Linked DNA regions of Notamacropus eugenii. The protein of the gene in region 2 interacts with the protein of the main gene of each other region in a pairwise test. Links are inferred from orthologs where the notes say so. Each region holds a gene or a part of one and is shown on either strand. Other genes may lie near its edges.

Region 1 (7,728 bases), on a different chromosome or scaffold from region 2:
GGAGGCCCTTCGAATCCACAGCAGGCGCTGCAGGTAGGCCAGGGTGGGTGTCTGGTAGGGGACAAGGTTCTGCGTGCTAACTCGGCTTGCCCCATGGATCTTGGGCCTCCGCAGGTCCTGTCTCTGCAGTGAGTCCATCCTGGAAAACAGGGGAGGGCATCCCATTGTTGTCCTTGTGCAGGCCCTGGGGGAGGGAGGAGGGAAGTGGAAGGGAAGGGGGGAGGAGGAATAAGTCCCAGAATCCAGGAAAAGCTGTCTCTCCCATCACCACGAGGAAAGATACCTGGTTTTTTGTTTTGTTTGTGTTTTTATAGAGGGAGTGAGAGACATCTGTCTCTCTTAGCAGTGAAGAGATGAGAGAAGAGAGACTTTTATATAATCAACCATGGAAGGGGAGTTGGGAAATGGCTTTGGGAAAAATGAATGGGTGTTGGGAGTTTAGTTAATTGAATGGGGCTCTGAGTATAAAAGGGGGTTGGACTGGGTGATCTTTAAAATTCTCTCCCATTATGTAATTCCATACCAACTTTCTTTCCTTCACCTCTGCCTTTCCTGGGTGGCAAATAGAGATCATTTTGCTAGGATCAGGAAGACAGAGGCAAGGCTATGGGTCTTGCCCAATGCCTCCCCAGCGTTTTTTGCTTGGGCTTAGCCATGAGACAGAGGAGATAAGGGACCCTTGCAGGGCTTATGTCATCCCTTGCCCCTCAGGGCTCTCAGTTTGTTTCAAGGGAAGCTAGATTTCCATTCTTTCTTCTCATAGACTAGCACCTCCTTGCCCATTAACACCCAGTAGAGGCCACCCAGGATCTCAGTACTGTGGCCCATTGGCTACAGAATTTAGCCACATACTTGTCTGGGGCCTAAACAGGTCAAGCTAACCTTTTCTAGACCTTTTCCAGAGTCCTACTCATGGATAGCAGAGTGCAGTGGTGACAAGGGACAATATCATTCTTGGATTGCCCAGGACTTGGCACATAGTAGGTACTGAATTAAATTGAACAGGTGATTTTTCCCCTAATGTACTCCTCAGCAAAACCCACTTCCCTTTCCTCAGCAAAACAGGACCAGAAATCTGGAAGTAAGGAGGGACCTCAGTCCCTCCCATCCTAATCAACTTCCTTGTCCCAACTCCCTGAGAGTCAGATTGGAATGGACTAGCTTGGAGTTTGAATTGTTTTTCCTTCATTTTAATGGATGGACATGATCTATAAGCATCCTGGGGAAAAGGGTTAAGTATGTGACCCTTCCCTCTTGAAAATTCTGTGATTCTATGACTTTTTTAATTTATTATTGTTATTATTACTACTATGGAATATATACTGTCTTCCATTAACTGAACTTCAAAGTATTGTTTTATTAAAAGAAAAAAGAAAAAAAAAGGTCTACCAGTCAAGGAAAGCTATAAGCTTCCTTTGTAACTTCTATTACACCAGGGTTCTTGTTCTGATTGTTAGGCTGCTCCTGATTTAGGAGATAAAGGGAAATGAGTTCAAGGAACAATTTGGAAATTAAGGGGGTATATAATTTGTTATTTGTAGGAATACGTACTAGTCTTTTCCCAAGTAGCAGCCTTGTCTGCTGCCTTGGAGAGGGGTGATACCTTAAGGCTGTCATTCTAAACCTTTATGACAACTAGCTGATGAGTTGGACAAGACTCAGAGGATAGGATACAAGCTGAGTGAAAGGTGTCTAAAAGAAAATGATGTGACTTCACAATTTTAACAAGAACCAATTTTACCTGGGCCAGGTCCACCACCTCATGTTGGAAATAAGCCAGGCTGGAAGAGTTCAGTAAACATGGAAGGCTTGCTGTCTCCTGGGCTTCTTTTCATAGTACATAGTGGATACAGTACTTGCATGTAAGTCCCTAGACCCAAGGGGCACCTGGCCCTGGGTGTAGGGGGTAGGCAAGGGAATCCAAATCCTTCTCACAATTTTCCCAGGTAAGCTTGGGGACCACACTCACATGAGGCTGAAGCAGCTAGGAACTGAAGTGACTTCTACCTGGAGCAGGGACAGTAATGTCCTATTCTATTCTCTGTCTGCCACCTGGGCCGTACCCAAGAGTGTGGCTGATGTAACCACAGGACTCTACAGGTTCCTCTCCCAGTATCAGGTGTTCTTTGCTGACTCTGCCCCTGGGACTCCTGGTGAAAATAGTCATAAACTTCCCATCCTTCAATTCCCCATTGAGACCCTGACCTCTGATAGCAGTGAACCTTCCCATCTGATAGAGGAAAGGTTAGACATAGCCTTAACTTTCCTTCTCTCCTTCTTTAAATTCCTGAACTGTATCCAGAACCATTATTCTGGGGTGACAGAGTATGTTTCCAGGGCCCTAGTGGGCACAGAAATGGGGACACTGGCTGTATCTTGTCCAGGAAAGTGGGTTATCTGGATAGCTAGCTATACAAAGAAATCCTAAGGAAGTTGGAGCTTATAAAGCTATGGGGTCATATATATCAGGGTCTGGTGTCCCTCTGGCTTTGACCTCCCATCCTGCATACTGTGGCTAGTCCATGTGGGATGGAGGTTGGAGGTGGTGCATTCTTTCTCAGAGCACCCCACCCCCCCCATTCAGGGTAATCACATATGGGACAACATAAGAGGAAATCTTCCACTTGATGGGATAAAGGCCTATAATCTCAGCTTAAAACCTGGCAGCAGGGGTAAAGAGAAACCTATAGAACCTGAATGACCTGTCCAAACTCCTACAGCCAGCTGATGGTAGAAATGGTTGTTGACCCAGAGAGTTGAACTCCCAGGAAACACTGACTGTGGGGTTCTGCAGATTTCACAGGTTAAAATCGGAACTAAGCTCAAGCCCACGGAAGTACTGCCTGACCCTGGAAGAGACCTCCAACCCTTCCCCAATAATGGGCATCTTACCTATATATGACCCCACCTACCTAGAGCATGGTCTAGGGCTTGAGTCTGGAGGCTCTGGGGGCCAGGGCAGTGCTGGACTCAACAGTAGGGATCAGAACAGGGGGTGGAGGTTCCATCTGAGAACACAGATGCTGTGAAGCGTCTAGAATTCCAGCTGGTTGACATGGAAGTTTCTGGGGGGGGAGGGGGGAGCAGGAGGGAGGAGGGAGGCCCTGAGCTATCCCTGCCCAGAAGAGGAGCCCGTCTTGAGCTACAGCTTCATCAAGCTGTCTCAAGGCATCGATGTACTCATCAGCTAGTCCAGGACAGATTGCAGAGTAAGCGGCCTCATATGATGTCATTTAAAGGGGCCCCGGAGAAGGGGTGTTGGCAGGAAAGAAGGGAGGTTACAGTGGGTGCCAATAACAAACCACCAACAACAGGAGGTAACCAGGGACTGGCCCCGCCAATTGGCCAGGCTTGGTCATCCCAGGGCTCTTGCAGCCTTGATTCTGATCAGGTTGAGTCTGGGGGCTGCTTTCAGGAAGCTCTTGCCCCCTGAATCCAGACACTCTGTCTCCCTGCTATAATTCTGATGGAGAGACCTGGTCCCACCCAACTCTCCCTTTGCCAAGCCTTTCTCTGGCCTCCCAGAATCAAACATAGGGTAAGACTACCCTCCCGTGGCCAACCCCATGCTCTGCAGCCCAACTGCATGGAAACCCCAATATCTCAGACCCAAGAAGACCTTTAAACAATACAACAACCCTCCTTCCCCTGGGACACTCACTTCAACCAACAGCTTAGCACCTTTCGCTGCAGAAAGGATTTTTGAGCAGAGAAATCCTGGACAGCTTCAGAGGCCCTCCCCATTTCTCACCAGAGAAATCATTTTAACCTAGCCCAGGGAAACAGAGGATTCAAATTGGTCTCTAATTTTTGTGGCCTGTAAGACCTTGGGCAAGTCACTTTCTCAGTTCAGCATCTGTAAAATGGCTACTGAAGTCCTTTCTTGTTCAAGATCCCTAATTCTGGCCTGTAAGGTTCCTTTTAATTACAAATCAAGGATCCTAGGGATCCTTTCCAGGGACTACCCTGATCAGGGTGAGAAGGGATGAGGATAACAGGGGAATCCTTATTCTTCCAAGGGATATTTCCCCACCCACCCACCCCCTCTACCCTGTTGGCACTGAGGCTCTGGATTTCCAGGGGCAAACAAATACAGAGGCAGATCTCTACACTGGTTGCTGTTTGCCCTGGGCTGCTTTTGGCCTGCTCCTAGCCTCTGCCTTGTCTTAAGACCAGATCCAAGTCATTTCTGTTGGGATTTTTGGTCTGGGGGAGCTGAAGGGTCAGGATTTGTGCTTATAGAAAATAATCCAATCTAGCCTAGGGGAGGATAAAATTGTAAAGAGCTTCAAAAGAGAAAATTTATTCTGAGATTCTTAACCTGAAGTCAGTGATTTTTTTTTAATAGTTTGATAAGTATTGAATCTTATATATTTTAATCCTATGCATAAGTATTATAATCCTATGTATTTTATTTTCTGCATTTAAAAACATTCTGAGGAGTTTACAGGCTTCATTAGATCCTTCCAAAGCAGTCCAGGAAACACGCACATACAAAGGGTTAAGAACCCCTGATATAAAAAAGTGAAATCATGAGGGCTCTTACAACCTTCTCTCTCACAGGTAGAAAGAAATGCTGCCTTCCATCCAGGGTCAGCCACTCCTGGGCAGCTCCCTTTCTCTTACCCTCAATCCCATCCCTTGTCTCCATCTTTCATCTGAGAAGCTCCCTCCCTTCCCCCACGGATCCCTAAAAATCTGAGAACAGAGGAACCCATGGGTCATCCATTATTAACTTAAGACATTGAGACTCAAGGGAGGTAATTGACTGGCCCAGGATCACTCGCTTAAGAAGAAACAATTCCACTCCAGATCTTTCCTATCTCAAGTCCCACACTTAGAAGACTATAGATTCAGAGGTGGAAGGGACCTTAGTGGTCTAGTCTTCTCTCTTGATTTTGGGTGAGGGAGGAGGATGAGGACTGAGCTGGTGATTTCTTTGGTAAAGGTTTTTCTCAGGTGAGAAAACTCAATAAGTCAGTCTCAGGGAGTCACCTGGTGCAGGAAGAGTTTAAGTGACTTATCCGGGGTCACGTGGCCAAGGACTTAAACCCAAGTTGTCCTGACTTCAAGATCAGTTCTCTAGCTGATATGCTATGAATGCCTCTCCCTATTTTACAGATGAAGAAACTGAGGCCTAGAAGAATTTAAATAATTTAAAGATAGTGACAGACTTAGGATTTGAACCCACTACTTCAAACTACAGACATAGTGTGCTTTCCCTTATACCATACTGGCTCCCTAATCACTATACCACACTATCAGGTTACCTCTCAGGTGTAATTAATTGTTCCTTTGCCATCCTCATATAATTACACAGCTCAGGATTGTCTTGTCTGTGCTGAGAAGAGAAGGGTGATGGGTCACACTGTTAACTATCAGTTTTCCTCTGTCTCTGACTCCTATCTATTTGTCTGTGTGGGTCAGGTGGCTCTAACTCTCCCCACACAGCCAGCTACCACAACCCACGTGTGTCCCTGCCACCCCCAAGCACATGCTACCAAGGGGCTGTGCCCTTCGAGGCATGCCTAGAATGGGGTGAGGAGGGGGAGGCACTCACCTGTGGAGGGGGCCTAGCCTGGTTCCAGCCGATGGCTATAGTCTCCCAATAGGCAGGTTCCCAGCTGCCTGTCTCTGCTCTGTTGAGGCTGCTTCTATTTTGGATTTGTGTTTAATTATAAACCATGATCTGCTTCCCCCCCTTCCGCCCTCCTCTTCTTACTACCCACCCTACCCGGGGCAATCAGTCCCGTTCATTCCCAGGAGGGGAAGTTGCAGAGATGATGGCATGGCAAGGGTGTGAGACTGAGCCCTGTCTGGCAGTCCTGGCACCTGCCACCTGCCACCACCCCCTCTGACCCATAATCAGAACTCTGCACACTGAGGATACGGCAAGTCTAGCCACAGCCTCAGCTATATATATGGTATGTGTCAATGATTGTTGGGAGCTGGGGGTGGGAGGAATGCAGGAGAAGGCTGTAAGCAGCTAATCTCTGGCCAAGGGGATTTAAAAATGTGTGGGTATTCTTTTCAAGTCTTTATTAGTATGTAGAAATAGAGGGTAGAAAACAAAATGGAACAAGGCTCATGATTATGGTCTTGTACCACTTAGGACTGGAGGTGTGATGGAGAAAGGAAACTGGGCTCACCAACAGACCACCTGTTCTTGGCCACCTGGATGTCCAGTCCCTTCCTGGTCTGTTACACCTTCTCTCCTTTCCCCTGCCCCCTCTACCCTTGGTTGTACCACAAAGAAAGATGAGCAGAGAGCAAAGCTAAGAAAAGTGTGGAAAGAGAGAAGCTTGAATGCTATTCAAATGAGATAATATTTGTAAAGCATGGTGCCTAGCACATAGTAGGTGCTATGTCAATGCTTATTATGCCCTCTATCTTCACTGAGTTGACTGTGTTCACCCTCAGGATGCCACATCACAGGTGAAAATAGCAAGGAGCCTGGGAGGATTTTGCCAGGAAATGAAGTCCAGTTCCTTGGCCTATGCTTTGCAAAAGCTAGATGTCCTTTCTGTAAGAATCTGACCCATAATTCTGTCCAGGTGAAGGATGGGCCACTGTTTGCAGCCTAGAGTTCAGAGAAGTGGCTTTTGGGAAAGGTTATACAGAGGAATGACTATCGTATATTTCCTGGACCCTGAACAGAAATTCAGTTTGTGACCAGAACCTGCTCAGAGGTCTTCACATCTCCAACCCATTAGAACCTTTGAAAAATCTCTCAAAATATCTCAAAGGGAACCTTGGCAAAGTTCTCCTATCTCACCTCACAGTGTCTCTCCACCATTTTGATCCCTGCCAACTTCAGTCTTCACAGGTACACATGTGCACAGTTCTAAATGAAAAAAAGTCCTAGCTCTCAGATCTGCACCCTTCCAATACATTCTTAAGGGAAGATAACCCCATTGGTAGACCCTTTGAACCTAGTGAAATGTCAGTAAACCTTTGATATTTTTTAAAAACAGTCATTTTATTTTCAGGGCAGAGGGGTGGGTGGCATCAGTTTCTCTCTGCTCCCTTTTTGCTGTTCCTGGCTAAGTTGGAGGTCCAGGTCACGCAGCTGGGAAAGAAACCCCCGATTGGGGCAGATGTTTCGATGGACACTTACTGTCCTCAGGGCTTCTACCAGGGTCAGCTGTTTCCTGAGCATCAGGAAGGCAAGGACCAGAGTAGCAGAGCGGCTGAGCCCCATGGCACAGTGAACAAGCACCTTCCCTGGAAAGAATCAGAGCATCAGAGATTTAGAAATGGAGATTTAGAAATTAGAGGCCATCAAGTACAATTCTCTTCTTTTACAAATGAGGAACTGAGGCCAACAGATATTAAGTGACTTGCCCAGGGTCACACAACTAGTAGGTATCTAAAGCTGGATTTGAACTCAGGTTTTCTTGATACCAAATTCAATAAACCAAGCCATGAAGATGGGGAATTGAGAACAGCCTCAAGTGGGTATAAAGGGAAGGACAAGAAAGAAGAGTCCTTGATCCATTTTACAGACTGGGAACCTACAGCCCAATGTAACAGAAAAGCTGGGGCAGCTATAGGTCTTAAATCCCACCAAACCCCAGGCCCTAGGGTCCTTGAAGTCTAGCCTGACTCCTGTTCTTGATCATCTTTGCATGATCCTGAGAAATGGAGTGGAGGGAAGTGCTTATATGATCTGGGCTTCCCACTAGCCTGCCCTCTTACCTTCTGAGGTCTCCAGTGCTCCCTGGATGA
Region 2 (7,940 bases):
CTGAGCAGGAAGTGGTACTGGAGCTGAGCCTTGAATGAAGCCAGGGATGCCAAGATGAGGAAGAAGATTCCAGGTACAGAGAACAGACCTCCTGTGTAAAGGCCAAACATCATGTCGAGGGAACGCTGAGAAGACTACTTTGGTCAGAAGGACATTGGGAGAAGTAATAGGTTAGATCTAGAAAGAGAGTTTGAAACCAAACCGGAAAGAGTTTAAGATGCAGGTGATGGGGAGCAATTGAAGCATCTTGAGCAGAGGAGTGATGAGTGAGGTCTGAATATTGATTTGGCAGTTTGTGTGGAGAAAGAACTAGACTGAAAGGAGACTGTTATCAGAGAGACCAATTAGGAGGATTCTGCAATAATTCAGGCCAGAGGTAATGAGGACCTGGAGTAGGTGGTTGAGTAAATACTAGGGGACATATGCAAGAAGTACTGCTGAGGTAGAAATGACAAGATTTGGCAATGAGTGGGATGGGGGCATAAGGGAGAGAGAAAAGAACAAAGAAAGACAGTGGTGACAGAAACAGAGAAGTCAAGAAGATGAATGGTTTTTTGGGGGGGTTGGGATGAGGAGAGATAGATAATGAATTCTGGCTTGGACATGTTGCCTTTGAGATGCCTATGAGCCATCAGGTGGAGATGTCCAGTAGTTAGGTGCTAACGAGGGGTTTAATGCTTCAAAGCTAACATCTTTCCCAATCTGTTTCCTCATACACAACTATACTAACTGCCAGACTTAGGGACCAAGGAATCTCAATTACCATGGTCCTAAGAGCATAGAACCCAAATATCATCACTCTTGGTTCTTAGAACCAAGGCATTCAGTCTTTCAATCTGCCCCTTTCAGTCTGAGGCTCACAGGTACTTTCCATCATTGAAGTCCCTGCCCTACGGAAGCTCAGTGCCCCTAACTCCACCCAGCCCTGCCCTTCAGCTCCAGGTTTCACATCTATCTGCTCACTCTTACTTTCTTTAATTTACAGCCCATTTCCATTGCTCCAGTTTCTCCCCCTGCCCCTACTTTAAGGCCTTAATTTCCAAAGCTTTTGACTAGGGAATTAAATTGCAGAAAGGGGTACTCTCCTTCCTAACCCCTCCCTGGAAATCAAACTGACCCCTTCACTCACTTCCTGGGGCTGTTGACACAGCTGCAGCTCTAATACTCTAAGGACAACTGAACAAGAATTAACCAATGGACAAGAATGGCTGAGTGTCCAGGACTAGAACTCCGCCTGGAGTGTCCAAACTGAAATTCTTATGCCCCTGAGTCAGGGGTCCCTCTTTCCCTCTCTAATGAATGTCTAATCCTTATAAATTCTCAGGAACCCAACTATCCCGACTCCTATTTGAGGCATAAGACAGAGAAAAGGTAGAGAAGGATTGACTCTATGCTGGGACTCCCTAAATATTACCCCATGAAGTTCAGGAATCCTGGAGGCGGCTGCTTCTGGGTGGAGTGAAACATCAGACAGGAACGTGGTGGGATGGGGGAGATGGAATGCAGGGGCCAGAAGCCAGGAACACCCCACCCTTGGGCACAGATGAGACTGTGGGGGGGGTGGTGGGAAGGTAAAGATTCATTTCCAGCATTAGGAGATGGAACAAAACCGACATCTCCTGCTTCCTGGACCTCTGACCTACCATCCCATTGGGATGCTTGACCTCCTGATTTCTTCAAACAGAATAAATCAAATCTAGCTCCAGAATAGACCAAGCCCTTCCCATTCCACTTTCTGCTGTTTTCAGTACTAAATGTTTCAGTTACTCCTCTGAAACTGATAGCTGCAGAACAGGGTATGAAAGCAGGAGTGTTCTGGGGGTAGAAGGGTAGGTAAGAGAAGATGGGATGTGAAGACTAGAAAAGAGAAACTATTACTCAGAACTTAGAGTCCTCCCTTTTCTGCCTGTTCCCTCCCATCTACGTCTGCAACACAGCTCACAGGGTGTCCAATCAGGAAACGCCACTAGTCATGTGCAGGCCCCAAAACATCACAGACCCATACTGGTTGGTGCCAGGAGGGGGAAGACAGGGCAGAGACTTTTAAAGTGAAAAAATAAATTTAAAATCCCCCCCCCAAACAAGCCCAGGAAGAAAGTAGCTGGGAGTACATCTGGCACTGGGGAAAGGGTTCAAAATTTCTCTGGAAATCAGGCAAAAAATTAAATGCAATATAACCCTTCTGACTCTTTAATTTATCTTTGGCTCAAAGTTAAGTTAAGTTAAAGTCCTGCTGATTCTCTACATTACCTTCAAGCAGGACATTTTTTTTCCTATACTCCTAAAGGGTTGGGGTAAAGGTGTGGGGAGCGGGGTTTAATTCCCAAGGATCTAAATTGGAGAAGTCTAGACAACTCTCTAACCCCCAACAAAACTACATCAAATCTGGGTTGTTCCTCCATGGCTGGGAAAAAATTAGAAAACCATGCACTGCATCATCACAAAAAAGGGGTGTGTGTGTATGTGATCAGATTTAGGGGCATCCATATGGGGAAGGTCCATAGATCCTCACTCTTGTCGCATGATCCTAGAACTTCCTAGTGCCCAGCCCATGGAGGGCAGAGAAGACCCTTGGAATTGATTTTGAGGGAGATGGCTGCTTTGAGAGCCGATGATCAAAAAGGGGGTTCGCCCTGATTTCAGCACCCACAGTTCCTCCCTACCGAACCTACCCAGTCCTTCCAGGTGAGTTACCCAAGGGGAGGGGAGAAGGCAAAGGGGGAGCTCCCTCCAATTTCAGGGAACCTCTCAAAACCCCGGCGCCCCTAAACAATGAGGGAAAACTGGGGGGGTTCTTTCCACTAAATGGTTAACCCTTTAAAAAGTCTGTTTCCCTAGAGTTCCTTTTCAAGGATTGAAAGTTGGGGTGAGACTCCATAAAATTCCCTTCCCCCAAAACAAGAATTAGGACCAAATTCTCTTACCCCACCAGGAGATCAGCTGTTCCCCTCACCTTTCACCAACAACAAAAACACGACTCTGCCTGAGAGAGGGGCGGGGGAGAGAGTTGGGCGCAGGGCCTTTCGGGGATTGTAGTTCTTTCTCCGCTTCCAGGCTTCAAAGTTTGCTGGTCTTAGAACTACCAAACCCAGAAAGCTGTGCGAAGCGGAGGGTGGAGAGGAGTGTTGGGATGACTAAGGCATGTTGGGATCTGTAGTCCATTCTTCTGCAGTGGCCAATGAGGACGCTTCCCCAGTAGAACTACAACTCCCAAAATTCCACGAGCGCAGGCGGCCTAAGCTAATTGGGTTGAGCTATTTACAACAATTTTTTTTGAGGGGGGGTGGGGTTGACTGTGGGCCTCAAGCTTGGTGGAGGGGGGAAGAGGCAGTGGAACCACGTGTTTTTGACCGACTAGGAAACTGGCAGCGGCGATAGCCTTGACCCAGTGGAGCAGTCCCCTCCCAGGCCTTACGCTTTCCATTCGGCTTCCTCTTCCTCCTCCAGTGTTTACAAAAATTCCCCTCCCAGTTTGTCTGCCACCTCCAGCCGCACATGTGAGACAGGGGAGTGGGGGCGGGGCTTTCGAAGAAAGTCCAATCTTAATGAGGCAACCCGGGCAGAGCTAATGCGCAGGCTCTGTTTGTGCTTTGGAAACTTGCATGCAAAGCTCTTGGCCTGGGAGGGATCGAGGGCAAGTTGTGTGTGGCTACGAGGTCCCTCCTAGTACCCTCTTGGCTTAGTTAGCCCAGTCCCTGGCACGTGTTAGGTGCTTCAAAAATGCTTGTTGACATAGCTGATTTGGGCTGGGACTTTGTACCTACCTCTTCTCTGGTTTCCTTCCAGACTGAGCTTAAGTCCTGTCTTCTGCAGGAATCTTTCTCAGCATCCACCTATGCCCCTAACCCTCTGCTTCCCTCTGATTTTATCCCTCCCACCCCTCAACGTTTTGTTTACACCAATATGTCTTGTACAGACAGTTATTTTTGTTGTCTCTCCCGTTAGAATGTGAGCTCCTTGGAGGTGTGGACTTTGTTTTTGCCTTTAAAAAATATCCCCAGAGCTTAGTCAGTCAATAAGTATTTATTTAGCACCTCCTGATCCAGGAACTATGCTAAATCCTGGGGATACAAAGAAAGGCAGAAAACAGTCCCAGTATGGTCAAACAACTCCCAGGCTAATGGGGGTAGAGGTGGGTACGGGGTGTGGGGTGTGGGGGAGAAAATGTGGAAACAACCATATAAAAACTAGAGACACATGCTTGCTGAAAAAGTCATGCCACAGGCTGGCTCACATCCTCTGCTTTTTCTAGGGTTCCAGACTCAACTTGGTCTTTCTTGCAATTCTCCTAAAAGGTTTCTACCCTAGAAAGTCACTTCACTCCCGGACTTCTCATATTCCAAGTCTGTCCACCTGTTTGGGGGAGAGGTGGGGTCCCTCTTAGAACTTCCCATTTAAGAAAGAGGCTCAGGTCATCGGTGTCTTTATTCCTCTCTAGGCTATAGTCCTAACTCTCCTTGACTTTCTCTACTATGACCCCTTGTCAGTGTCTTTTAAATGCTGCCTTTCCCCCATTTCACTATAAGCAACTTGAGAGCAGGGACTGTCTGCTCATTCCCAGTATTCCCAGTGTTTTGCATGGTGCCTAGCTCGCAATAATTACTTAATAAATGCTTATTGTTGTTGACTATATAAAATTGTGAGTAACTTCAGAAGGAAGGCACTAAAAATGACCAAGAAGGCTTCTAGCAGAATATGAAACTTTAGGTGAGACTTGAAGGAAGCCAGGGACAATCAAGAGAGAGAACTGAGGATCAGGAGCATTCCAGGCATGAGGGATAACCAGGGAAAATTCCCAGAGTTGAAAGATGGAGTGAGGCTGACAACTTTGCTCAACTCTGCCTACTTAAATCCAGTTCACACATGTCAAGACATCACCCTATGATGTCATTGGACCTCTTTGAGAACAAAGGACAGATAACAAGAAGAGTCGTAGAATAATGAGGAGATTTGTCATTGGAAGATTGGAAAGGCAGGAAGGGGCTAGATTATGAAAGACTTTGAACAAGTCATAGGATTTTATATGTAAAAGATCTTTGGAGCATACTGTCAAGCTACAGAGTTTGGTCTAAGAAAAGCAGAATTAGGCTGTATCCATGTCTATTTCTCTCACTAGATTGCCTAACATAGAGCCACCCTGCTCCCCTGCCATCCTCCCATGCAGATGGGAGTAACCTCCTTGGATTAGCTATGTAAGGGCAACACACTTCATCTTTAGAACTGACCAGATTGGGGCAGTTGCTTTTCATTCCTGCTGTGTCTGAAGGGTGAAGATTGAAGTTCACGAACAACATGGATGGTATGAATTGAACCTGTCCTAACACATATTTGATCTTGGAAATGATGAGAAGCCTCTTTTTTTTTTTTTTTAAATTGAAAGGTAGGGGCAGGAATATATTCATCAGACCTGCACTTTAGGAGATCCCTTTGACAGGTGAGAAGAGGAGAGACTGGATTGAGAATTGAGATAGGGAGACCAACCAGAAGACTGTTGTAATCGCGTGAAACAATAGAGATGATGATGATGACAGTGTCAGAGGAGAGAAGAGGGCGTATTCAAGATATATTATGAAGACAGAATGATAAGACTTAACAATGGTTTGGAGAAGTTGACCTCCTCACACCCTCAGCTGTGAATCTTGGTGACTAGGAGGATGGTGATAACATTAATAGTAAAAGGGAGGTTGGGTAGAGGGAAGGTTTTTTGTGGAAAGATAATGAGTTCAGTTTTGAATTTTTTTTTTGGATGTCTATGAGATATCTAGTTTGAGATGTCCAATAGGCAGTTGCAGATTTAAGTTTGGCTGTGAAGAGAGAGAGAAGTTAGGGTTGGACAAAGAGATCTGAGATCAATACTTAATAAATGCTTGCTGTTGACAGACACAAATGGGCTGATATATTTGCATTTACCCAAGAATCTCTAGATACTTGTAGACCTCCACTGTGTATGGGGAGTGAGACCTTGGGACCTAGGGAGAGAGGACTGTTGATCAAGGGTGGGCAGGTGAGTAGAGGTGAGGGATGGGAATTAGGTTAGTCATCCTGAAGCACACCTTCCAAACAAGCCAGTTGGAGGGTACTTGCCGCCAAAGTCCTGTAAAAGACCAAGTCCTAGGGGGTCAGTCCCAGTTGTAGTTCCGCTTTAGCTTTGGAGATGAGGGGCAATAACCTTTTAAGGCAATAACCAAAATCATTGGTTATTGGGGGACAGCTGAGCTAGTCTGTGACAGTCAAATGTTTTGTCAGCCTCCTAGTTGAGACTTTTTTTCTGATTTGCTTGTTACCTCCTGGTCACTGGCTTTAGTTCCCCTCTTCTGCCCCAAGATACAGGCTCTTATAAGATTTCCTTCATTATCTTGCTTTTGTGTCTGGGATTGGAGGTTTCTGGTACCTGTTCTCCCACCCCCGCCCCCTTTTCTCTGTTGATCTCCAGGCACTTAGCAACAATAAGTTACTGGTGCATAAAAACATTGGGTTATTACTTCTGTTTCCCAAATTAGAGTTTATGGGTTGGGGAACAAGCTGTAGGGATGAGGCAGATCATCTTAGTGTCAAAGGGTGTGAATCAAGGGCAGCAGCAGTTCAGAGATGCAGGTGTCCTTGTCTTTGCCTCTTCTATGGGCAAAGTGTAAGCACCTAGCAGTCCAAAAGACCTCTAGCACAAACTCAGCCTCAGTTGGAAACAAGGTGAACAGTCTCAGGGAGATGTTTTACACTTTTTAACTCTTGAGATCTGGGGAGAAAAGAAAGAGTGACCTCAAGGAGTGGGTGTTAAAAGAAAAAGACTTCTAAAATCAACAAATACTTGAGAGTGTTGGGTGTATAGAGTCAGAAAGACCTGAGTTCAAATCTGGTCTCTGACTTTTACTAGCTGTGTGATCCTGAGCAAGGAATTTAACCTCTGTCTGCCTCAGTTTCCTTATATGTAAAGTGGGGATAATAATAGCATCTGCCTCACAAGGTGGTTGTGAGGATCAAATGAAATAATACTGGTAAAGCTCTTCATAACACCTTAAAGCATATATGAATATTAGCTGTTATTATTATTATATGGTAGCTATTATTATTGTTACCTGTTATGTCTAAGACACTAAGAGCTGTCCGGGAGGATATTTTAGAAACATAATATATAGTTCTTGCCTCCTCTACAAGGTATGGGAAGAAGAAAATACCACATTTAATTAAGTGTGATGAAATCTAAAGACCACTGGATTTTGAGTCAGGAGAGCTGAGTTCAAGCCCAAACTCTGACAACCTTCTGTTTCCTCATCTATAAAATAGGGATAATAATACTCATAGTAGCAACATTGTAGCGTTACTGTGAGGAATGCGTCTAGTAAACAATGAATCATTATATAGGAATGTTGGTTATTATTTTTAATGACAGTAAGTGGTAACAAAATGGTAAACACATGCAAACATGTATTAAGCACCTACTGTGTGTACTATGCTAGGTGCAATGCTCAGATTGCTTGCAGTGCATCAGGAAAAAGATAATGAGCAGTACAAGAAAAATGAGAGGAAAAGTCAATGATTACTTTTAGGAGTTGAGAGAATAGAGGTCAAATTTTGATTGCACAAAATTGAAACCTTTTGCTAAAAACCAGACGAGAAATAATTAACTGGGAAAACATCTTTGCAGCAAATATCTCTGATGGAAGTCTGATTACCAAGATAATTTGATAATAAGGGAGGTGATAACAGCTGGGCCATCTCCAATTATCCTGTTCTAATCTGACCACTGGACTCAGATAGCTCTGGAGGAGAAAGTGGGGCTGGTGACCTTGCACAGCCCACCCTCACTTAAATCCAGTTCATCTCTAAGTCATGGCATCATCTGGTCCTCTTCAAGAACAAAGGACAAACTACACAACCACACAAGGTGATAATAACATATGAGAACAAGAGCCATCTCTTAATAGATAAATGAATATATTTAT
Region 3 (7,547 bases), on a different chromosome or scaffold from region 2:
CAACTATAAATATTTTTGTACATATGGGTCTTTATCCTTTTTTATCTCTTTGGTATACAAACCCAGTAGTGGTATTGCTTGGTCAAAGGGTATGCGTGATTTTATAGCCCTTTGGGAATAGTTCCAAATTGCTCTCCAGAATGGCTGAATCAATACACAACTCAACAAATAATACATCTAATAGATTATCTTTTGGTAAGTCCACACTGTCAAAATTTTGTACTAGTATCTGTCATTCTTCCACAAACATCTTTCTCCATTGTATAACCAGAATTCAAACAGCCAAAAAAGTCAAAGATGTTTAAATATCAATGTGTAAACTCTTCACTAAAAATAATATAAATCACCAAGATGAACAATAGGCAAGTCAGATTTCTGAACAAAAGGTGTATGTAATATAAAATTTTAACCTAAATAAACTTGTTTATTCTAGAGTTCTTCAATACATACAAAGAGGTGAAAACATGAGAAATTCAAATAGTGTCATGTTATGCCTATTTACAAAGACTTCCAAAGTTTTTAAAGAACAGGAGTCAAACAAATATCAGAGGTTTCTCTGGCTCTATCTTCTGTCAAACTGACTTCATATTTCTTCTCATACACCCAACATTCCAGGCAGATGGGTGTATTTGTTTCCTGTCTGTAACATTACATCTCTCTTTCTTGACACAGGTTATACATTCCTTCTCTGCTCCACCTCATTTTAAGGCTCAAAGCTCCACTTAAGTACTTACTACTTCTAACAAAAAAAACTCTTTCCTATTCCCTCAGTAATTAATGTGTCCTCCTTTCCATTACACTGTATCTGTATCTGTACTTATCTGCTGTCTATTCTTACATGTTGTGTCTCCCCCCCATTCCATCCCCTAATAGATGTGATGATAGGTATGTGCCCTTTTTCGTCTATGTAACTTTTTTTGTTTGTTGTTGTTTTAACCACTGCGTCTAACACAGTGATTTGAACATAAATGCTTACTGAAGTGGATGGAGTTCCTTTAGCATGTAGCAATAAAAGAGGTAAAAGCTATTTCACAATGACATTGAGAAGAAAACTAAGTTAATCAAGCATGATGCTGCTACATAAAAAAATATGAAAGTCAATATAACTGTGCCTACCAAGTAAAACTACTGTTGTAGCAGAAAACAGGAGTCAAAGGATCTGGATTCAAATTCAGTCTCTTCTATTTATCCTCTCTAGGCCTCTTTTTCTTGTCTGTAATATAAGAGTTTTGGGCTGTCTACAAGGTCTCTTCCCTTGCTAAATCCTATGACCTCCTAATTTCTAAGCTCTTTGTAAATCTTAAAATGACACATAAATGCTATTATTATTTTTTATCCTCAAAATCATAACCATAGCAACAATGGCACCATTTCAACAAGTAATCAAGAGAGGCATAGAGGAAAAGAGGGGGGAAAAGACTCAAATCCTCTTCCAGGTTCAATTTTCACAGAGCAAGAAACAGTAATACCTATTTTCTACAAATGTGATTAAGCAAAACCACACTGACTTTTGAAAAAGCTAATCTAGATATCTTTCCTAGTTCAGCCTAGAAATACAAAACTCTCATAATCTTTTGAACCTTCAACTGAGGCACAGCCTCAAGAATTTACCATGTAATAAAATGAAGAATAACTTTTTTTCTTAAAAAATCTATGGAACTGCTCAGAAACGCTCTCTTACTTAACTCCAATTTATATATTCACCCATTTATGACTATCTCAAATGAAAATTTTTTTTGCAAAATACACTTTTATCTGAGGGAAATTTAAACTCAGTAAGGAAAAAAAATATTGGACAAGTAGATTAAAATTCCAAAGGAAAAACTGGCACTTCCAGTTTTCACAAATTCACAAAGACAATCGATGTATTTAGTGCTCAGAATCTTTCTGTCCATCCTCCATTTCAGAAAAATTAAAGAGCTTCACAACGTCTATTCCATCCAACATTTTTTGAAGGTGCAGTTTCTCAATATCTGACAGCTTAAGAAAAACAAAGAAAAAGGTGATCAGGACGCCTACCCCATGGTCCGGGAAATCCTTAACTTTCTAGGGCAGGGAAAATAGTGCAAATGTAGGAGAGGGCTAGGGAGGGAGCCCAGAGAAGTGATGGTCTTAGAATGCAGGGAAAGATCTTTTTTTTTTTTTTTTGATATGACAGTAATGGAGTTTGTTTTGCTTGACTATATATACGCATTACACAAATCGTCTTCTTCTGGAGAGAAGGAAGATAAGGAGAAAACAGTTAAGAGGAGAAAGACAGAAGAAAAGGCCATAAATAGGGAAAGGAAGCTGAAGGGTAGAAGAGAGAAGAGAAACAGGGAAGGGGAGAAGCTGGGGGGAGGCTGGGGAGGCGAGAGGACGCTGAATGGGACTGGATCGCAAAAACTCGCCAGAACGACAGCAAAAGGAGGCGAGGCCTGAACCCCTGGGCAGCCTTCCTCCCCTTTTCTAGGCCTCTTGTCCGTACGCTCCAACACTTGTACTTGTAAGCGGGACTTGAAATCAGGGGTCCCCACAAGCCTTAGTGAGGTCTGAGCTTAAATGGTCTAAAACGGCGAGAACCCCGGGGGTGACCGGGGGCGACCGCGGGCTTTCGGGGTGGGAGCTGACGGACGGGAAGGCCTGAGAGCGGCCCCTAAGAGAGCGTGGGGACAGGGAGGAAGCAGGCGGTGGCCGGAGGGGTGGCTCCCCAGACCCCCAGCGCCCTGGGCACAGGGAACGACGGTACAAGGATGCTCTGAGACGGAGATACCTGTCGCAGGACCTCGGCCCGAGCCTGCCGCTTCTCTTCTTTCCGTTCTTCGATGCTCCTAGCGCTTTCAAACCGACCACCGGAAGCCGCCATCGTTGTTGTTATGGAAAAGTTCCCAAGGCAACCGTCGTAAAAGTCGGCTTACGACAGTCGTAAAAGCGAACCTTCCGGTTCGTCGCTCTCAGGAGTCCCTGGGGGCGGGGCGGGACGGAGAGGGGAGGGGCGGGACGGAGAGGGGCGGGGCGGGACGGAGAGGGGCGGGGCGCCCTATGGGAAGGAGAGTTGGAACTTCAGAGTCCTGGGTATGCGCGCGAGGAATTGTTCTCTCCCTCTCCAAGAGTGGGGTCTTTTCCTCCCTCGAGTCTAGCTAAATCCTGGGAGGAGAAGGCAAATGCAGGTGGAGAAAGGAGTTAGTCAGCTGACCCACCTGCTGTGAGACCTTTGGGACACCGCGTATTCACCTCTGGGCTAGGTTTGCTAGCATTAAAGGGAGGCTGTTACCGGAAGGGATGATGCCACCGGGCACCCGAGAATGTGATTGTCTTGCCATGGACCTCACTGCTCGCTATGGAAAGTCGATGCTCTTTTTCACCTTTCGCAGCCGGGGCACCCCTGTATCAGTAACCGACCCTCCGCAAAACCATGAAGTTTGACTCCGAGCCCTTGCTCACCCCTAACTTCTGAGCCCCGCTTCTGACCTTGGGGATCCCTCCCCCCTTCTGACCTTGGGGATCCCTCCCCCCTTCTAGCCTTGGGGTTCCCTCCCCCCTTCTGACCTTGGGGATCCCTCCCCCCTTCTGACCTAGAGCTTCCCCACGCTGCGCTCTGCTGCCAAAGTTTTAGACATCAACTCCTCTCCACCCACTATCACGCCTCCCTCAAAAAACTCCCATTTTCACCACTAATTATACAGAGAATAATTATATTATTACTAATTACACAGAGGAATTATACAAAGAAAATTAATTCCCACAGTGTTTGTTGTTGTTGTGGAGTACCAATGACATCACTCTGTTGGGCACAGTGATGTACAGCGTGTTGACTGAGGCTGATCAGTCCGATGGGAGCTCACAAGACTCTCTCTACCACAGCTCCAACTACAAATAGGCCATTTGAACATTTGGGATGGCTTTTTCTAGATCTGTACCTCTCATATTTGCTTTGTGTTCCTGTGATTCTGCTTTGTTCTTAGAGCACAGAGCCTTCTTTGATGCAGGTATACCATGCCGGGCAGTCCTGTGCCAGGGTCTCCCATGTTTCACTTGATACTAAAGTTCTTCAGAGAGACCTTGAGAGTGTCCTGGTACCACTTCTTCTGACCCCATGTGAGTGCTTGCCTTAGAAGACTTCTCAGCCAAATAGTCTTTTAGGTAAACATATGTTTGACATTTGGGCTACAGGACCAGCCTATTGGAGTTACACTTTCTGCCATAGAGTTGTAATGCCAATAATTCAGGGACCTGTGTCTGATACCTTATCTTGCCAGGTAATCTTCAGAATCTATCTAAGACAATTCAGATGGAAACAGTTGGCTTTTCTGGCATGGTACTGGTACACAAGGTAGGTTTCATAGTCATATGGTGATGAGGTCAGCACAAAATGGCTCTGTAGACATTCAGTTTGGTATGTAGCCTAATACCTCTTCTCTCTCATACTTTATTTTGGAGCCTCCCAAACACTGGGCTAACTCTGGCAATGTCTGTATGCATCAACCTCATCACCTAACATCCCTGGAAAGTATACTACCAAGGTAAGTGAATTTCCCCACACTATAGAAAATTTCTTGGGAGGGAGGGGGAAAATATCTAAGACTTATGAAAGTGATTATAGAAAACTGAAAATAAATAAATTAATAATTTTTTAAAAATTTCTTCATTCACTGTTAACCAACGGTTTCATGAATGGATGGAAAAATGCTGGCTGGTGGGAGAACCTCTATTTTCTTGGTATTGATTGTCAGGCCAAAATTAGCACAAGCAGCAAATAATCAATCCATACTCTGTTTCATCTCAGCGTCAGAGTCTGCATTGAGTACACAATCATCTGCAAACAAAAAGTTGTGTACCAACTCTCCCTCTACTTTAGTTTTAGCTTGTAGCCTTTTCAAGTTAAAGAATTTGCCATCAGTGCAGTAGCTGACCTTGATGCTGTTTTCTCCCTCATTGAAGGCATCTAACATCATTGCTGAAATGCTAACAATGCTAAGAAAGCATGGGAGCAAGCTCACAACCTGCTTCACTCCACTGATAATTGGGAAAGCATGAGAGTATTGTCCTTTATCAAGAACTTACACAAATATGCTATCATGAAATTGGTGTACAATATTGATGAACTTCTCCAAGCAGCCAAAGTTCAACATAATCTTCCATAAGATCTCATGACTGAGGCCTTGTATCAGGTATCAAAGTTTCAAAGGTCTTGGTCATGTCGACAAACACTGGGTCCAGAAATGTCTTCTGGAGTTGTTGGGCAGCAAACACAATAATGCCGTTTCCTCTGCCCTTTCTGAAGCCTTACTGGCTCTTTGGTAGATGACTATCTTCCACATGAAGGATCAGCCAATTAAGGAGTACTCTGGAAAGAATCTTGCCAGCAATGACTAAGACACACACACGCACACGCGCGCACACACACAGACATGCACACACACATAAACACACACCTATAACTGTCACAGGATAATCTGTTTCCTTTTCCTTCATAGAGATGGACAATGGAAGCATCCTTGATCTCCTGAGGGATAACCTCCTCTTGCCACATAACCTGGAAGACTTCAGTCAGCATCTATATGAACAGTGAACCTGTCCGCCATGTAGATCTCTGCTGGGATGGAATCAGTGCCAAGCACTTTGCCACACAAAAGAAGCCTAATGGCATTCAGTACTCCTTCATTTAGAAGTTCATCTAGAGAGGGATTGACTTCAACCTAAGGTAAACAGCCAATGGCTTCAGCATTGGTTGATGGTGATGTGTTGAGAACACTATAGAAGAATTCAGCCCATCTCTTCAGGATCATATCCTTATCACTAATCAGTGTGACTCCATCAGTGCTGAGTTCTTGAGATGCAGCAGAGGTCTTTGGCTCATAAATAATCTTCAGGGCATCATAGAAGCACTTTGGGATACTTGCTATTGGTGGAAAACTGAATCTCATCTCCCTTTTTACTGAATTCAAAATCCAACATCTCTCTAAGCTTTGATTTCAGTTTACTTTTGATAGAGTTAAATACTGCCTTCTTAGAGACAGATGAACAGTCTTCCTGGCAAACACTGTAGAGTTCTCTTTTTTTGTCTAACAGCTTCTTTAATTTCCCCATCATTTTTGTCAAGCCAGTTCTTATGTTTGCAAATGTTCTGGCCCAGATGAGCAAATACAGTGCCATACACCAAATCTCTGAATGCTACCCACTCCTTTTCTGCTCCATTGTTGCTGTTTGCTGACTCTGCTTTCCCTTCAGGTCAGCAATAAACTTTATGAAAGCAGAAGCACTCTGATCTGTTGAGGTTGAGTCTCCTGACTGTTGTCTTGCCTTGGGGCCACCACTTTTGTTGCATGGGAATTTTAGCTTTAAAAGGATAAGTCTGTGATCAGTCCAGCACTGTGTGCCACACATCACCTTCATCACTCTCACTTCCTGCCTGTCTCTTCCCCTTATAATGATATAGTCAGTGCTTGTTACAAAGGTGCATCCAAAACATTTTGTTGAATGTAGGTAAACAGAAGGCGGTGTTGACGATGAGAAAGCTGTGAAACACTCAAGTCTTCAGTAGTAAATGACCATTGATATTGCTATTTCTGGCTATGTTCCTCTGTATTGATAATTCATTTTTGCTTATTGTTAGTGTAATATTTTGCTTAATTTGAAGATCTTTCCCATCTATTAACAAGTCCATGTGACCTGTTTAAATCACATGGAAGCCTAAGTCACATGTTGTGGGAGGAGCTTGCTGGACGGGTAGAGCAGGAAGGGTGGAACAGGAAGAGGTAGAGCTAGAGCAGAGCTGAGAAAAAGATTGGTCAGAGCAGTCAGAGCTAGGAAGGATCCAAGCAAGCAGGCAGCTGGCTAGTGTGAGTGAAAGAGCCTGTTTGTGATTTTGTTTAAGGGAGTCTACTTGTGATTTGTCTAATGGAGCTGGTTTGTGGGAAGCCTAGAAGAGGGAAGGCTTTAGGGTGGTGCTGCCCTCTGCGTTGTTATTGTGTCTGAGTAAATGTTTTGCTCTGTCTTCCATGTGGAGAGTCTGTGGTATTTCGCAATTCAGAATTGTGCTGGCATATTCATGGCTGCTATAGGCACTGTGAATATCACATTGGTGCTACATCCTCCTGAGGATTCCCTGCCACATCTGATAATCTGTGCCTACTCTGGCATTAAAGTCACCCAGAATTACAAGCTGGCCCTCTTTTTGCACATTGGTTATGAGGGTACCCAGGGTCTTCATAAAATTTTTCTTTGAACTTATCAAGATTAATCTTGGTGAGAGGATATGTTCTGATGATGGTGGCATGGCATTTTCCTGTAACTGGCAGCTGCATTCAATGAGCGTGTTATTCACTACTTTTGGGAGGCATAAAAGCTTGCTGATTAGATCTGATTGCAAAATGTAAGCCAACTTCATGGTGCTCCTCTTCACAGAGGATACTATGTATTCAGCATTTGTAAGCTGGTCCTTCCTGCCCCAGCAAGAAGCATAAGGTTGGGTGAAGCAAACAATTTTTAGGGTACCTTTTCTAGCCCCTTTCTTACACCAGGAGGTAAACATTAGAGTCTTTTTAAAAAGCTGCTCAGAAATCCAG

The links. The genes of interacting proteins can lie anywhere in the genome.
Region 1: the proteins of CALCOCO1 (region 2) and dual specificity protein phosphatase 13B-like interact in binary tests that used the Homo sapiens proteins (3 or more experiments, as listed by UniProt). The two-hybrid records come from large-scale screens. The link is inferred for Notamacropus eugenii from reciprocal best matches to the Homo sapiens genes CALCOCO1 and DUSP13B.
Region 3: the proteins of CALCOCO1 (region 2) and CWF19L2 interact in binary tests that used the Homo sapiens proteins (3 or more experiments, as listed by UniProt). The two-hybrid records come from large-scale screens. The link is inferred for Notamacropus eugenii from reciprocal best matches to the Homo sapiens genes CALCOCO1 and CWF19L2.

Annotation. Positions count from the first base shown.
Region 1 is NC_092872.1:235,270,746-235,278,473, reverse strand, and holds the start of dual specificity protein phosphatase 13B-like, read right to left. Parts: upstream 3,002-7,728; 5' UTR 2,913-3,001; exon of another isoform or gene 2,893-2,912; intron 1,828-2,892; exon of another isoform or gene 1,765-1,827; coding exon of another isoform or gene 1,742-1,764; intron 185-1,741; 5' UTR 166-184; coding exon 1-165. Other genes in the region: dual specificity protein phosphatase 13B-like, read right to left, coding at 6,986-7,224, 7,699-7,728. UniProt on the Homo sapiens protein: Dual specificity phosphatase that dephosphorylates MAPK8/JNK and MAPK14/p38, but not MAPK1/ERK2, in vitro. Exhibits intrinsic phosphatase activity towards both phospho-seryl/threonyl and -tyrosyl residues, with similar specific activities in vitro.
Region 2 is NC_092874.1:226,679,228-226,687,167, forward strand, and holds the start of CALCOCO1 (calcium-binding and coiled-coil domain-containing protein 1), read right to left. Parts: upstream 3,010-7,940; 5' UTR 2,925-3,009; intron 1-2,924. UniProt on the Homo sapiens protein: Functions as a coactivator for aryl hydrocarbon and nuclear receptors (NR). Recruited to promoters through its contact with the N-terminal basic helix-loop-helix-Per-Arnt-Sim (PAS) domain of transcription factors or coactivators, such as NCOA2.
Region 3 is NC_092876.1:147,499,832-147,507,378, reverse strand, and holds the start of CWF19L2 (CWF19-like protein 2), read right to left. Parts: upstream 3,002-7,547; 5' UTR 2,846-3,001; coding exon 2,753-2,845; intron 1-2,752.